Linked DNA regions of Drosophila melanogaster. The protein of the gene in region 1 interacts with the protein of each later gene in a pairwise test. Each region holds a gene or a part of one and is shown in the gene's direction. Other genes may lie near its edges.

Region 1 (4,186 bases):
GGGGAAACCCACGAGAGGGGAGGGTGGGAAATCTAGGAAGAGGGCACCAGTAAAATGTTGCAGTAAACGATTTTCCATTTCCCGCTGGGTCAGCGGGTCATCGAGTGGGCGAGCGGGAAAACGCGAGATGAATGCAATATGGAAATCAATAAATAAAAACAGCATTTTCATTTAAGTGCTCGACGAGGAAATGGTTGTGGGAAAAGGCCAGAGAAAACCCCGTTCAAGTGTCGCCCATGAAAATGGAAAATCTTTCTTCGATGCGATGTAAATAAACAGTAAGAGTGCGACAACATTTGTTTATAGAAATGGAATGGAATTTAAAGTGCGAAATAGGGAAATACTTAACAAAACAAGGATCCAGAAATTGAGTTCTTTTATTTTCGACCAACTTGCTTGTTTTTCCTATTGGATTTAGACGTTTAAAAATACATTTTTTTACAGAATATAAAAGTTAGAAGCTAATTATCGAGTAATTCCTTTCTCCTGATTCATCACATGCTTTTCTTGTCCACATATCAATCCACTTTTCCATATTATCGATGCCAAAATAAACGATTGATTGATTGATTGAAAAATCAACCCACGCATTTTAATAAAAACAACAACAATTCAAATGTGCAGTTACACACACATAACTAAAAGGGAAGAGAGTGGAAAGCCGAAAGAGAAGAAGAGCGAGAGAGAGCAAATATTATCGCAGTTATTACGAAATCGCAATCGAAACATAACGGTAGATATAGATAGGAAAAGCACCAATACAATAAAGCGAATATAACCGCTAGAGGAAGAGGGGAAGAAGTGGGTGGGTGAAAAAGAAAGATCGCTGTCTCTTTCTCGCTCTCATACTTGCTGACTGCACAATTTGCAGTTAAAAGAAAGAAGCAGAACGGCCTGAGAAGAAAGACAAAGCATAAGAGTAACTGGCCAAGAAGAAGAAAAGAACAAGAAGTCAAGAACAAAATAGAAGAGAGCACACACACACACACATTCGTACGTACCCGTAGAAAACAGAGAAGGCAAAAAAGTCTTTCCTTTTTTTTACACTTTTATCCATTTTCAGTTGCATTTTATAAGATTCTTTAGTACAAACAATTTAACTTACTTGCTTTTTTTAGCAGCCACGCATGCGTCGAATGGGAATTTATGCTCCTTGAGACTCCAATTGGAATTTGTACCCCGGCTGCAAACAGTTTTTTTTTCTCTCTTGCTTTATTTCCACACTGCACACATACACATATGCAGCGGCACATACACACAAGTGCACGCACTGCAGTCGATTTTGTTTTTTTTGCATAAAACTTTATTTCATGTATGCCACTTGTACATTGTTTGTCACCAATTTGCGTATTTTGTACATCAAATTTTATTTTACTTTTCGTTGCCTTCCTTATTATTTTCCTAATCTTCACATGCACTTTTTTAGCGACGCCAACACACACATTTGCACACGCACACACATGGCGAGGATGAGAGAGGAGAAAGAGAGCAAAACACCGTTTTCGTTGCTTCCTTTTCGCTTATTCCTCTTTAGCCGCTTCTTTTCGATTCTGGCTCTTTTTGGCACTTTTAGCCCCAAGTTGCTAGCAATTCACTTAGCGTACGAGCACTAACAATTAAAACGAATAAGACTCGAAAAATACGATGGAAACGCGAACATATAAACAAAAATCTACATTGGTTTTATTGCAGCGCTACGCAGGTGTGTTTTTACGCGCTCATCGCGCAATTAAATTAGAACGCTGCAGATTTACTTAGTTCACTCCAGTCTGCCCAATGCGCGCCGCACACCTCGGAGCCGCAAATTATAAACACGACTGTCTTCGATTTAACGGGCTGGCCTATCGGTCCTATCGATGACTCGATAGTGCGAGCTGGAGTGTGACCATTTCTTGGTAAAAGCAAAATCGTGAAGAGTAAGTGTGCGATACTATCGAACTGTCATATACTCAACCAAATAACATCTGAAATCTGTTTCTCACTAAAACCGAAATTTCCATCAGGGTTAGGAAAATATAGTTTACGCACATCAAGTTGCATAGGTCAATCCTACGTAAAAAAGGCTCGATATAGGTAAGGTGGACCTCAGCCTGAACAGGGCCTAATGCAAATACATTCGATAAATAGATGTTATCGATAACCATTTGGTATATACCAGTAAATGCTTTGTTTTGGTTTTCATTCAGAAAATTGACATACATTTCTTAGTCTGCCTAAAGTTCCTTGGATTGAAAAGAGCAGTGCAGAATGTCGCACCGCCACCAGGACATTCCCATCCGCCCACGTTACGGTTATGTGGCCGAGGAGAGTGGCCCATCGGAAGGGGCAGCCAGGAGTTCTGGATCCGGAGCCACGCCCGCCTCCTCCTACACGGAAATTCCGTTCCTGGCTCAGTATCCGGGAGCGGTGCCAGAGCACGTGCTCCAGGATCTGACGCCCACAGCCACTGGCCATGCTGCGATTCCCGGAAGCACAAAGACAAGACCCAACGGCGAGAAATACCTTAACCTGGATTCGGGCGAGGATCCCGACGAGGAAGACGATCCCTTGGAGGAGGAGGACAACAGCAACTCGAATAGCAACTCTAAGGGCAGTTCCGGCGACATCGAAAGGCACAGACTGAAGGCAGAGAGCAGTGGGTTCTAGGTTATCTACCCATAGTTCCTGACTAAAGCATCTTCCTTCTTTCAGCTGTGCCCTACGAGCTGGACGGCGAAACCAGTGACTCCGACGGGATGCGCCACTTTGTGGCCCACGATCTAGAGGCCAAGTTGCGCGAGCGCGTGGCGGCTTCGGCCTACTCCTCGGAGCACACCACGCCCCTGAGCTCCATGGGTCCCATTGGAGCCACTTCCGGCAACGGTCTGCTCACGCGGCGGTTCCTGCAGTCGCGCAACATTCCCGAAGTGGACGGCAGCGTCTTGAGCGACATCGAACTGGAGGCTCAGTACTTGGCCAGCTCGGTGGACAATCTGATGGAAAACCTGGGCAACCTGCTGCACTCAATCTCCTCCATAACGGCCGACAACGTGGAGGTCCATCGCAACGCGGTCAACAAGCTGACGGACACTTTGGACGCGAATATCAAGTGCCAGTACCAATTGCTGGCCAAGGCGGAGGAAATCACCAAGTCGATGAAACCCACAGAGCAGCTGGGTCAGCGCATGTAAGTGGGTCAATTCAAGACAGATCCCTTTAGTGTAATGGACTTTCTCTTCCGCAGAAGGCAGATCAAGCGGCTGGTGGACATGTTGGACAGCACCATGTAAAATAGGGCTACGCTATCCTGTGATCAACCAATCAAAGAGATCTTGTCTTTCTAGTCATTCCGTAAATACATATAATCAGTGTTATAAAATCCATATGGAAAGATACCTTTCGCTTGTTTAAATCGTACTTATTCTAGCAGTTCCTCCAAAAAATCCACCTCCTTGGCTCACAGCTTCTCCACCTTGGCCTTGATGATCCTTAGGGGATCCACGGGGCGATCGTTCTTGTCGGTTTCCACCATGCCGATCCGCTTGACCACCTCCATGCCCGTGTAGACCCTGCCGAAGATCGTGTGCTTGCCATCCAGCCACTGCGTGGGCGCCAGCGTGATGAAGAACTGGGACCCGTTGGTGTCCGGTCCAGAGTTGGCCATCGAGAGGATGCCCGCGCCCGTGTGCCTCAAGTCGCCGTGCAGCTCGTCCGCGAACTCCGATCCGTAGATGGAGGCGCCTCCGCGGCCAGTGCCCGTGGGATCGCCGCCCTGGATCATGAAGTCCCTGATGATCCGGTGGAACACCACGTTGTTGTAGTAGCCCCTTCTCGAGAGTTCGGCAAAGTTGCGGCAGGTGTTGGGCGCGTGTTTCCAGTACAGCTCCACGGTGATTTCTCCCATGCTGCGCGGGGCACAAATGCCACAAATAATGTGATAAACAAATGCTCAGTCTTCAGTTTCGGCGATTATCGAGCATTCAAGCTCCGGACTCACCTCGTTTCCAGGGTCACGAAGTGCGGCTGCCACGCCTTGTCGGGAATGCCACCAGCATTGTTGGGATCGCTTAGGGACAGCATAACTATATTTGTTGTTAAATTAGCGAGACTTCAGTAAAATTGTTAAAACCGGCAGAGTCAGAGTGACCAGCTTAAGCGTAGTCACTTAGGCCGCCTGGCAACCCTGAACTGCTGCGGTATACTTCTG
Region 2 (8,234 bases), 7.6 Mb from region 1:
TTGATGAAATATGAATATACTTACATAGATACAATTGAGTTTTTTATTACGAATAAAATATGTGTAATATAAGATTTCTACCTTGTTGATTCCATTGATTGATGCTTCATTGAAACCCCAAAATTGGGCAAATTTGTTGTCATGGGAAACTAGTCCACTGTCGTGATGCCTTAAGCTTTTTTTGGGGCAGATTAGTCATTCCAGTTTAAACTAATCGAAAAATGTTATAATACTATTCAACGCATCATCGTTTCTTTCAGGCAAACAGGCCTTGCTACAAGCCGTTTCCGATGCTATGGCCAGCACCCGTCAGATGGCCAAGAAGTTTGCATTTTGGTCCACACAGCCAGTCACCAAGCTGGACGAGCAGGTGACCACCAACGAATGCATTGAACCGAACAAGGAAATTAGTGAGATTAGAGCATTGCCATACACTCTGCCAGGCGGCTTCAAATGGGTGACACTAGACCTGAACGACGCCAATGATCTCAAGGAGCTGTACACGCTGCTCAATGAGAACTATGTGGAGGACGATGATGCCATGTTCCGTTTCGATTACCAACCCGAGTTTCTAAAGTGGTCGCTGCAGCCACCTGGCTGGAAACGCGATTGGCATGTTGGCGTTCGTGTGGAGAAGTCCGGCAAACTGGTTGGCTTCATCTCAGCCATTCCCAGCAAGCTGAAGTCGTACGACAAGGTGCTAAAGGTTGTGGACATCAACTTCCTATGCGTCCACAAGAAGTTGCGCAGCAAACGGGTGGCTCCAGTCCTGATTCGGGAGATAACGCGTCGCGTCAATCTGACGGGGATTTTCCAGGCGGCCTATACAGCTGGAGTTGTGTTGCCCACGCCAGTGGCCACCTGTCGCTATTGGCATCGATCGCTCAATCCCAAGAAGCTGGTAGACGTGCGTTTCTCTCATCTCGCACGTAACATGACCATGCAGCGGACAATGAAGCTGTACAAGCTACCCGATCAGCCCAAGACGAAGGGCTATCGCCGAATCACAGCGAAGGACATGGACAAGGCCCACAAGCTGCTGGAGGACTACCTAAAGCGCTTTCAGCTGAGCCCGGTGTTCAGCAAGGAAGAGTTTCGTCATTGGTTTACCCCCAAAGAAGGTATTATCGATTGCTTCGTGGTTGCCGACGAAAAGGGCAACATCACTGATCTGACTAGCTACTACTGCCTGCCATCGTCCGTGATGCACCATCCGGTGCATAAGACGGTTCGTGCCGCATATTCGTTCTATAATGTGTCTACAAAGACCCCGTGGCTGGACCTGATGAACGATGCACTGATCTCGGCCCGCAATGTCCAGATGGACGTGTACAATGCCCTCGACCTCATGGAGAACAAGAAGTACTTTGCACCGCTAAAATTCGGCGCCGGGGATGGAAACCTGCAGTACTACCTCTACAATTGGCGCTGTCCATCGATGCAGCCGGAGGAGATTGCTCTGATACTCATGTAGTCACCTTGTCACCTAAGCTCACATTCTCGCCCTGCCTTTCACAGCTCCCCTCCTCCGCTTTCTTCACCCTGCTGGAAGTGCCGTGCGGCTGCTTTGCTTTGCTCCTATTTACGTAGCTATTACCTGTAATCTTCAGTTATTCCAGCGAGGAAAGCCCTTTGCGAGCATACACCTAAATAGCATCATTGTGAAAATTGCATTTTGCAACGGCCAAGCTTCGATATTTTTTACTACAAGAACGAACACAAATTGTATAAAATGCGCAGCAATATCAATAAAAATGTAACGTTTACTTGGACCTTTATTGCCTATAATTGACAATAAATTATTTTGCTGCTCTTTTAAAGATGACAAGTTTTTATTTTTTTTAAGCAGATTATTGTATTTTTGCCCACTGTCCCAGCATGTGATAGTCTGGCCACTCTGTCACATGGCCATTGGTCTGGCAAGGTCGGTGAAAAAGCGCGCGCTAAGCAAAACAGCTGCACTTGTGTTGGTTTATTAGTTAACGAAATCTGATTCCAATGTTGGTTTCCTCATAATATTGACAATTAAAGACAGCCGCCGACATGGACGATTCGGTGTTCAAGCTAAAATACCAAAAGTACAAGTTGCGCGTCAAGGTGTGGGAGAAGGACTTCAAGAAGAAGAATGGCCGTGTTCCATCGAAGGTGAGATTGGGATGCGGATATGACAAGTATGCTAACTGGTTGACCTGTTGCAGTATGATATAAGGGACGCCAGTCAGGAGATTCGGGACTCATACAAAATGTACTACAAACTGAAGACATCCTTCCTGGAAGAGACGCTGAACGATGTTCTCAGCGAAGATGGATACGATATTCTGGAGATGTCGCAGGCCAGTGATTTCGGTGTGAGCATGCTGGACCAGGACGTCAGTCTTAATGAAGGTCCTCAGCTACCGTTGGATATATCTGCACTGGTGGGGCCGCAGAGCTCTGGTAATCTTGAGGAAATTCCACAATCGGTGGAGGGCTCATTCTCAAATCTCATCGACCTGCCCAATCGTCAAGTACTCACCAATCTGGTCAATCGCGATGAAAACCATGTCATTCGCAAATTCGAGGCGGTGGAGGAGCTGCCAATCAACCAAAATGCCTGGGGCTTGAATGTGAGTAAGAAGCCACCAGCTCCACCACAGCCTGTAGAGGCCTCCAAATCCGCTCCGGGGCACGGAAAGCAACCCAAAGCGGGCGCTAGTCTTAAGCCCAGCTTGAGTGCCAAGTTATTCCAATCCTCACGCGGTTTTGCTAAACGAAATCCCCGAAAGCCGCTTTCACGTTGTGTCAGTTCCTCTAGTTCCACCACATCACTTAGCTCAGTTCCTACTGATCATCACGAGGAACTGCTCGACTTTGAGACCATACTCATACGCAAAGCCCAGGAGTACAAGGAGAAGCAGCAGGCCATAGCTAACAATCCAATGCTGGCCAGTGAGCACAGCAAGGAAAGTATCAAAACACTGGTGGACGACGGCTGGCTCCGGCGAAATACAAAGGAAAACACTCTTGATGAAGAAGTGCCCTTTGCGGAAGCAAATAATAACAGTGGTACGTCCAAGAAAACAAACTTTGGCCTGGCCAATCTTGATTTAAGTAAACTAAAGCCCACTGTTAAGGAGGAAAAAGTGTTGCAGGCCAAGCCCGATCAAATGGCAATCATACAGGAGCTGCAAACAGATATGAATTCTAGCATGAACCAGAAACCAGATCATCTTAATCACACACCTCCTGCATCCAGTCAAAAATCAGTCGCTCCTAAAAATAAACCTCCACCTTCCGAGCAGGAAACCGATTCGGATTCCGACTCTGTTGTGGCTGAGAGTGAAGAAGAGCAGGAACCACAAGAATATCGGCAACTATCAAAACGTCGCAAAATTGTTTCAACAGCATCAGGAAAAGTGGAAGTAGCCGCCCCAGTTGAAATTCCCAACAAAGTCGAACCAGAGACAGAAACATTTGCTCAAGAGAATCCAGATTTCTCTGCAGATGAAGACCAGGATGCTACATATGTACCAGAGAATAAAAAGAAAGATAAGGCAAAGCGCAAGCAAGCCGCCGGAAAACAAAAGACCACTAAGCCCAAAGCGGAACCAAAACCGAAAACAGAAAAGAAAGCCAAAGTCAAGGCCGAAAAGAAACCCAAGGCGGAGAAAAAGCCGAGGAACTCTAAAAAAGCCATCGCTGTCGAGCCGGCTCCTGATCCAGAAGAGGATGAGCGCCAACCATTGAATCCAGAAGATTTGAAATACGTGTTGGCCTTGGAGGCGGGAGATATTACCTCCGTTCCGCGCATTAATGTGCAGGATCTAGAAGAAGCGGATGCTACCGCCCAGCGCTATATTAGAACCTTCGCCGCTGGACCCAACCCAGGATTGTCGGAAGGGTCCAACATTCGAGTGGATGAAAAGAGAGCCGCAGCACGAAAGAAGCTGGAGGAACGCATAGCAGCTGGTAAATTAAACGAGAACTTTGTGACCATAAATATTCAAAAGAAAAAATTCGTGCGTGGCAAAAAGTCCGTGAACTTCAGCAAGTACAAGAAGCAACAGTGGCGGCATAAGAAACGAGTGGCTGCCTTGAGTGGGCCGGACATGGATATGGGTGGCTGTGATGGCGGAGTGCTCACGTGCTTCCAGTGCGGCGGAGTCGGGCATTTCGCTCAGCAGTGCAAGGTGAAGGGAGACAGCTTGTTGCCACTTTCGGCACAGCTGGAAGAGGATCCCTCGCCGTTTCCCACGCTTGCCGAGGCTCAGGAGATGGCCAGTCAGGGAGCAGTGGTGGCACACAGTCGCAACATCTCACGGCTGCCCCAAGCGGCCAATGCAGCCATCCTGCAAGGCGATGAGTTGAACGAGTCAGAGGAAGATGACCAAGAAAGCAGCGGAGATGAGGAGGTACAGCAGCATCCAGATCCAAATTGGTCTAGCGATGAAATGGACGTTGATTTCGAGGCCCTAGATGCGGCCGTCGAAGCTTCCCTAAGCCAACCGGTTTCGCAAGAGAAAGCAGCTTCACCTATTAAGACATACGTCGGCCACAAGATTCCCGAGGAGTTCCTCAAGCAGGCTGGACTGGACACCACAGCCTCTAGTTCGAATCGCAGCCAGCACGGTGGGGTGAAGCCCCTATACGATCTCCTTCCGGATGGCAGTGTCCAGGACACGACGCCAGAGGTCCTAGAGGCACTCCACATGTTCGGGCACACCAACTTCAGGAAAGGTCAAGATCGCGCCATCATGCGCACTCTCTCTGGACTATCATCGCTAGTTACACTTAGCACGGGCAGCGGCAAATCTTTGTGCTACCAATTGCCCGCCTATTTGTATAGCCGGAAAGTGGGAGCTATTACCCTAGTCATCTCACCATTGGTGTCACTTATGGAGGATCAGGTGACCGGGGTGCCGCACTTTCTGCGAGCTCACTGCCTGCACACTAATCAGACCGCGCCGCAGCGTATGAAGATTCAGCAGATGATTGCCAATGGGGAGATTGACATTCTTCTTGTCTCTCCGGAGGCGGTTGTCGCCGGGGAACGAGCCACAGGATTTGGAGCCATTCTTCGCCAGCTGCCGCCCATTGCATTCGCTTGTATTGATGAGGCGCATTGCGTGTCTCAGTGGAGTCACAACTTTCGACCCAGCTACCTAATGATCTGCAAGGTGCTGAGAAAGAATCTCGGTGTACGCACAGTGCTGGGGCTAACAGCCACGGCAACTTTGCCAACGCGTGTTAGCATTATAAATCACCTTGGCATATCGGATGGAGAACGTGGTATTATAAGCGACATCCCACTGCCTGACAATCTAGTGCTGTCCGTCTCCAAGGATGAGAACCGGGATGCAGCTCTGCTCCAACTGCTCAATAGCGAACGGTAAGACTTGGCCCACCATCTTTGAAACTTGAAGGAGACTTAAATACATTTTGATCATTCTAGCTTCGAGCCCTGCCAGTCCATTATTATCTATTGTACGCGTCGTGACGAGTGTGAGCGTATCGCTGGGTTTATTAGAACGTGCGTGCAAGACCGTAGGGAGCCAACTCAGGATCAGACGAAAAAACGTAAACGTGTGAATTGGCAGGCTGAGCCCTATCACGCTGGAATGCCCGCTTCCAGGCGACGAACCGTTCAGAAGGCCTTCATGAGCAATGAGCTGCGCATTGTGGTGGCCACCATTGCCTTTGGTATGGGCATCAATAAGCCGGACATACGCGCGGTAATCCATTATAATATGCCAAGAAACTTTGAGAGCTATGTGCAGGAAATTGGTCGAGCAGGACGCGACGGGTTGCCTTCCCACTGTCACCTCTTCTTGGATGCGAAGGGTGGCGACCAGAGTGAGCTGCGTCGCCATGTGTATTCTAACTCCATTGATCGGCATGTTATCCGTAAGCTGCTGCAAAAGATCTTTGTGCCATGTAGCTGTGACAAGGAGGCTTCCAAGAGGACAGCTCTTCCGATTCCCCTTGAAGGTGATGGTCCTAGAGTGCATATGTGTCCGGGACACGAGATTGGCTTTTCCGTGGAGAAAACCGTTGAGATGCTGGACATCCCGGCGGAGAACATATCTACTTTGCTCTGCTACATGGAGCTTGATCCCCGATGGTGCATCAGTGTGCTCAGCTCAGCATATGTGATGGCTAAGGTAATCTCGTATGGTGGGCCAAAGTACTTGAAGTAAGTCCTTTAGACACGTGTATTGTGTATGTGTTTAATGTTATTGGTTTTTCCTTGCACAGGCATGCTGCAAAGGAATGTCCACCATTGGCCATGGCTATTGCTTTGCAGATTAGAGATAAGACATTCAAGGAGGACTCTAACATCATAGAATTCTCGGTCACAGATATCGCGGCAGGAATTGGCTGGAACAGTGGTGTGGTCAAATACCAACTGAAGGATCTGGAGTGGGTAAAAGGTGAGATGGTAATCCGTTCAAAAAAGGATCCGTTTAATTAGAAATTAATTTTTCGATAGTAAATGGATATCCCAAGCGATCGCCCATCACGGTGAGCTTCTATGATTTGGGATTCCGCATCAAGGTGCCGGGCGATTTTACCGAATCAGAGATCGACAACGCTCTGGACACTCTCTATACGCGATCCGTGAAACAGGAGCGTACGCAGCTCATCCAGCTGCAATATGTGGCCCATGGATTGGCTGCTGTGGCCTACAGCTCTTGTGGCCAGTGCTGCAATGCGGATTTTCCGCAGGATCGGGGCGAGCAGCTAAAGGCTATCGTGCGCAACTACTTTGCCAATGACTACCCACAGGATCTGGAGCTGGAAATAGAGGTAATTGCTTGGCAACACATTTCAATTTCTTACTTTTATTGCTTTCCTCTCTGTCCATTAGCCAAGTAACGTGCCGGATGAGAACATCATAGACGACGTTCATGCTCTAATAAACATGTACCCGGACAATACATTTACCGGACGTAATATTGCGCGCATCTTTCATGGCATCATGAGCCCGAACTATCCGGCTGTCATCTGGGGACGCTGTAAGTTCTGGCGTGCCCACGTCAAAGTGGATTTCAATCGCATCCTGCACCTGGCCAATATGGCTATTATCAAGAGGCGTACGTGACCGTAATGTCGGGATGAACCGCCGATACCATGGTTAACCAATTAATAGCTCCAAGAATTTTAAAAATATGTGATGCCATTCAATAACATTTTACTCGCACAAGTCTGATAATACAAAAATAAATTACAAATTCTATATAAACAGCTTTTGTACTTATTATGAGTGGAAAGAGAAATTCGTACGGACAATCTAAATTTTTAGCTTGGTTTTTAAACTCTCTAAATCTATGTGTTTCATTAGCTAATAAATTTGCACCATACAATCCCACGCCAATGGAACAATAACAATTTATGATAATTTCATTGCCGAAAACAACAGAGCACTAAAATAAAGTAAACAAATGCCAAGCTCGTTTAGAGGCAAATTGCAGCTACGGCTTCAAATGAAACAGCAGAAATCAATTCGATGGAGCCCGTAAAGAAACAAACATCCGGCTGAGTCATTCCCAATAACATCACGAAATGTATAACCCCGGTCGAAGGTGTCATCTTCAAATCGAAGCCTAGCCAAAGGTCGTCCTTCCTCAGTTCACACGAACGCGAAGCAAACAACCCAACAAATGGGGGGATCTAACAACAACTCAGGGCACAGACAACTGGAAACAGAGAAACATCATTGAAGTTGTCGGATCAGCGAAGCGTTTGATAAAGGTTTTTTATGACTTGGCCATTTTGTGAGGCCTTTGGCTTCTCGTGCCGATGTTGTTTATAATCATAAACGAGACTCGAGTACACAAAAGTCGACCCAATTACAACTTGTTTGTTCTGAGAGTGAGACGTCAACGTCATCATCCTCGCTCCATGATCATCCACATTGTGCAGATGGCCAGCGAAGCCATCGAGCAGCAAGCTGACCTTGCCTCCAATTTTACTCCAATTTCGAGGCATAAAAGCGAAAATCAATTGAAATGGTAGCAGGCAAATACCACAATGCAAGCAACGAGATAGGAAATAATAAAAAATAAAGGAAAAACTAAAAGCAACGAGCAACTTGACTGGCCAGCTAGCTGATGCAACGGACAACATGGCGTATGCTGAATATTAAACAATTGCTGACATTCCAAAGAAAATACCTTGAGATGGGCTTGCTTTACAAGGAATATATAGACTTCGATTTTGTATTATGATTGCTAATGTTGAGAATTCTTCAACGA

What was found. Proteins that work in one complex are often made in the same cells at the same time.
Region 2: the proteins of BORCS6 (region 1) and RecQ4 interact in a two-hybrid assay, tested with the Drosophila melanogaster proteins (one large-scale study listed by BioGRID).

The regions. Positions count from the first base shown.
Region 1 is NT_037436.4:538,794-542,979, forward strand, and holds BORCS6 (BLOC-1 related complex subunit 6), read left to right. Parts: upstream 1-2,057; 5' UTR 2,058-2,147; exon of another isoform or gene 2,148-2,208; 5' UTR 2,209-2,247; coding exon 2,248-2,635; intron 2,636-2,691; coding exon 2,692-3,166; intron 3,167-3,223; coding exon 3,224-3,269; 3' UTR 3,270-3,354; downstream 3,355-4,186. Other genes in the region: Cypl (Cyclophilin-like), read right to left, coding at 3,437-3,884, 3,977-4,059.
Region 2 is NT_037436.4:8,169,666-8,177,899, reverse strand, and holds RecQ4 (RecQ4 helicase), read left to right. Parts: upstream 1-1,921; 5' UTR 1,922-2,043; coding exon 2,044-2,145; intron 2,146-2,198; coding exon 2,199-5,368; intron 5,369-5,431; coding exon 5,432-6,172; intron 6,173-6,234; coding exon 6,235-6,410; intron 6,411-6,469; coding exon 6,470-6,786; intron 6,787-6,847; coding exon 6,848-7,081; 3' UTR 7,082-7,260; downstream 7,261-8,234. Other genes in the region: Nmt (N-myristoyl transferase), read left to right, coding at 261-1,474.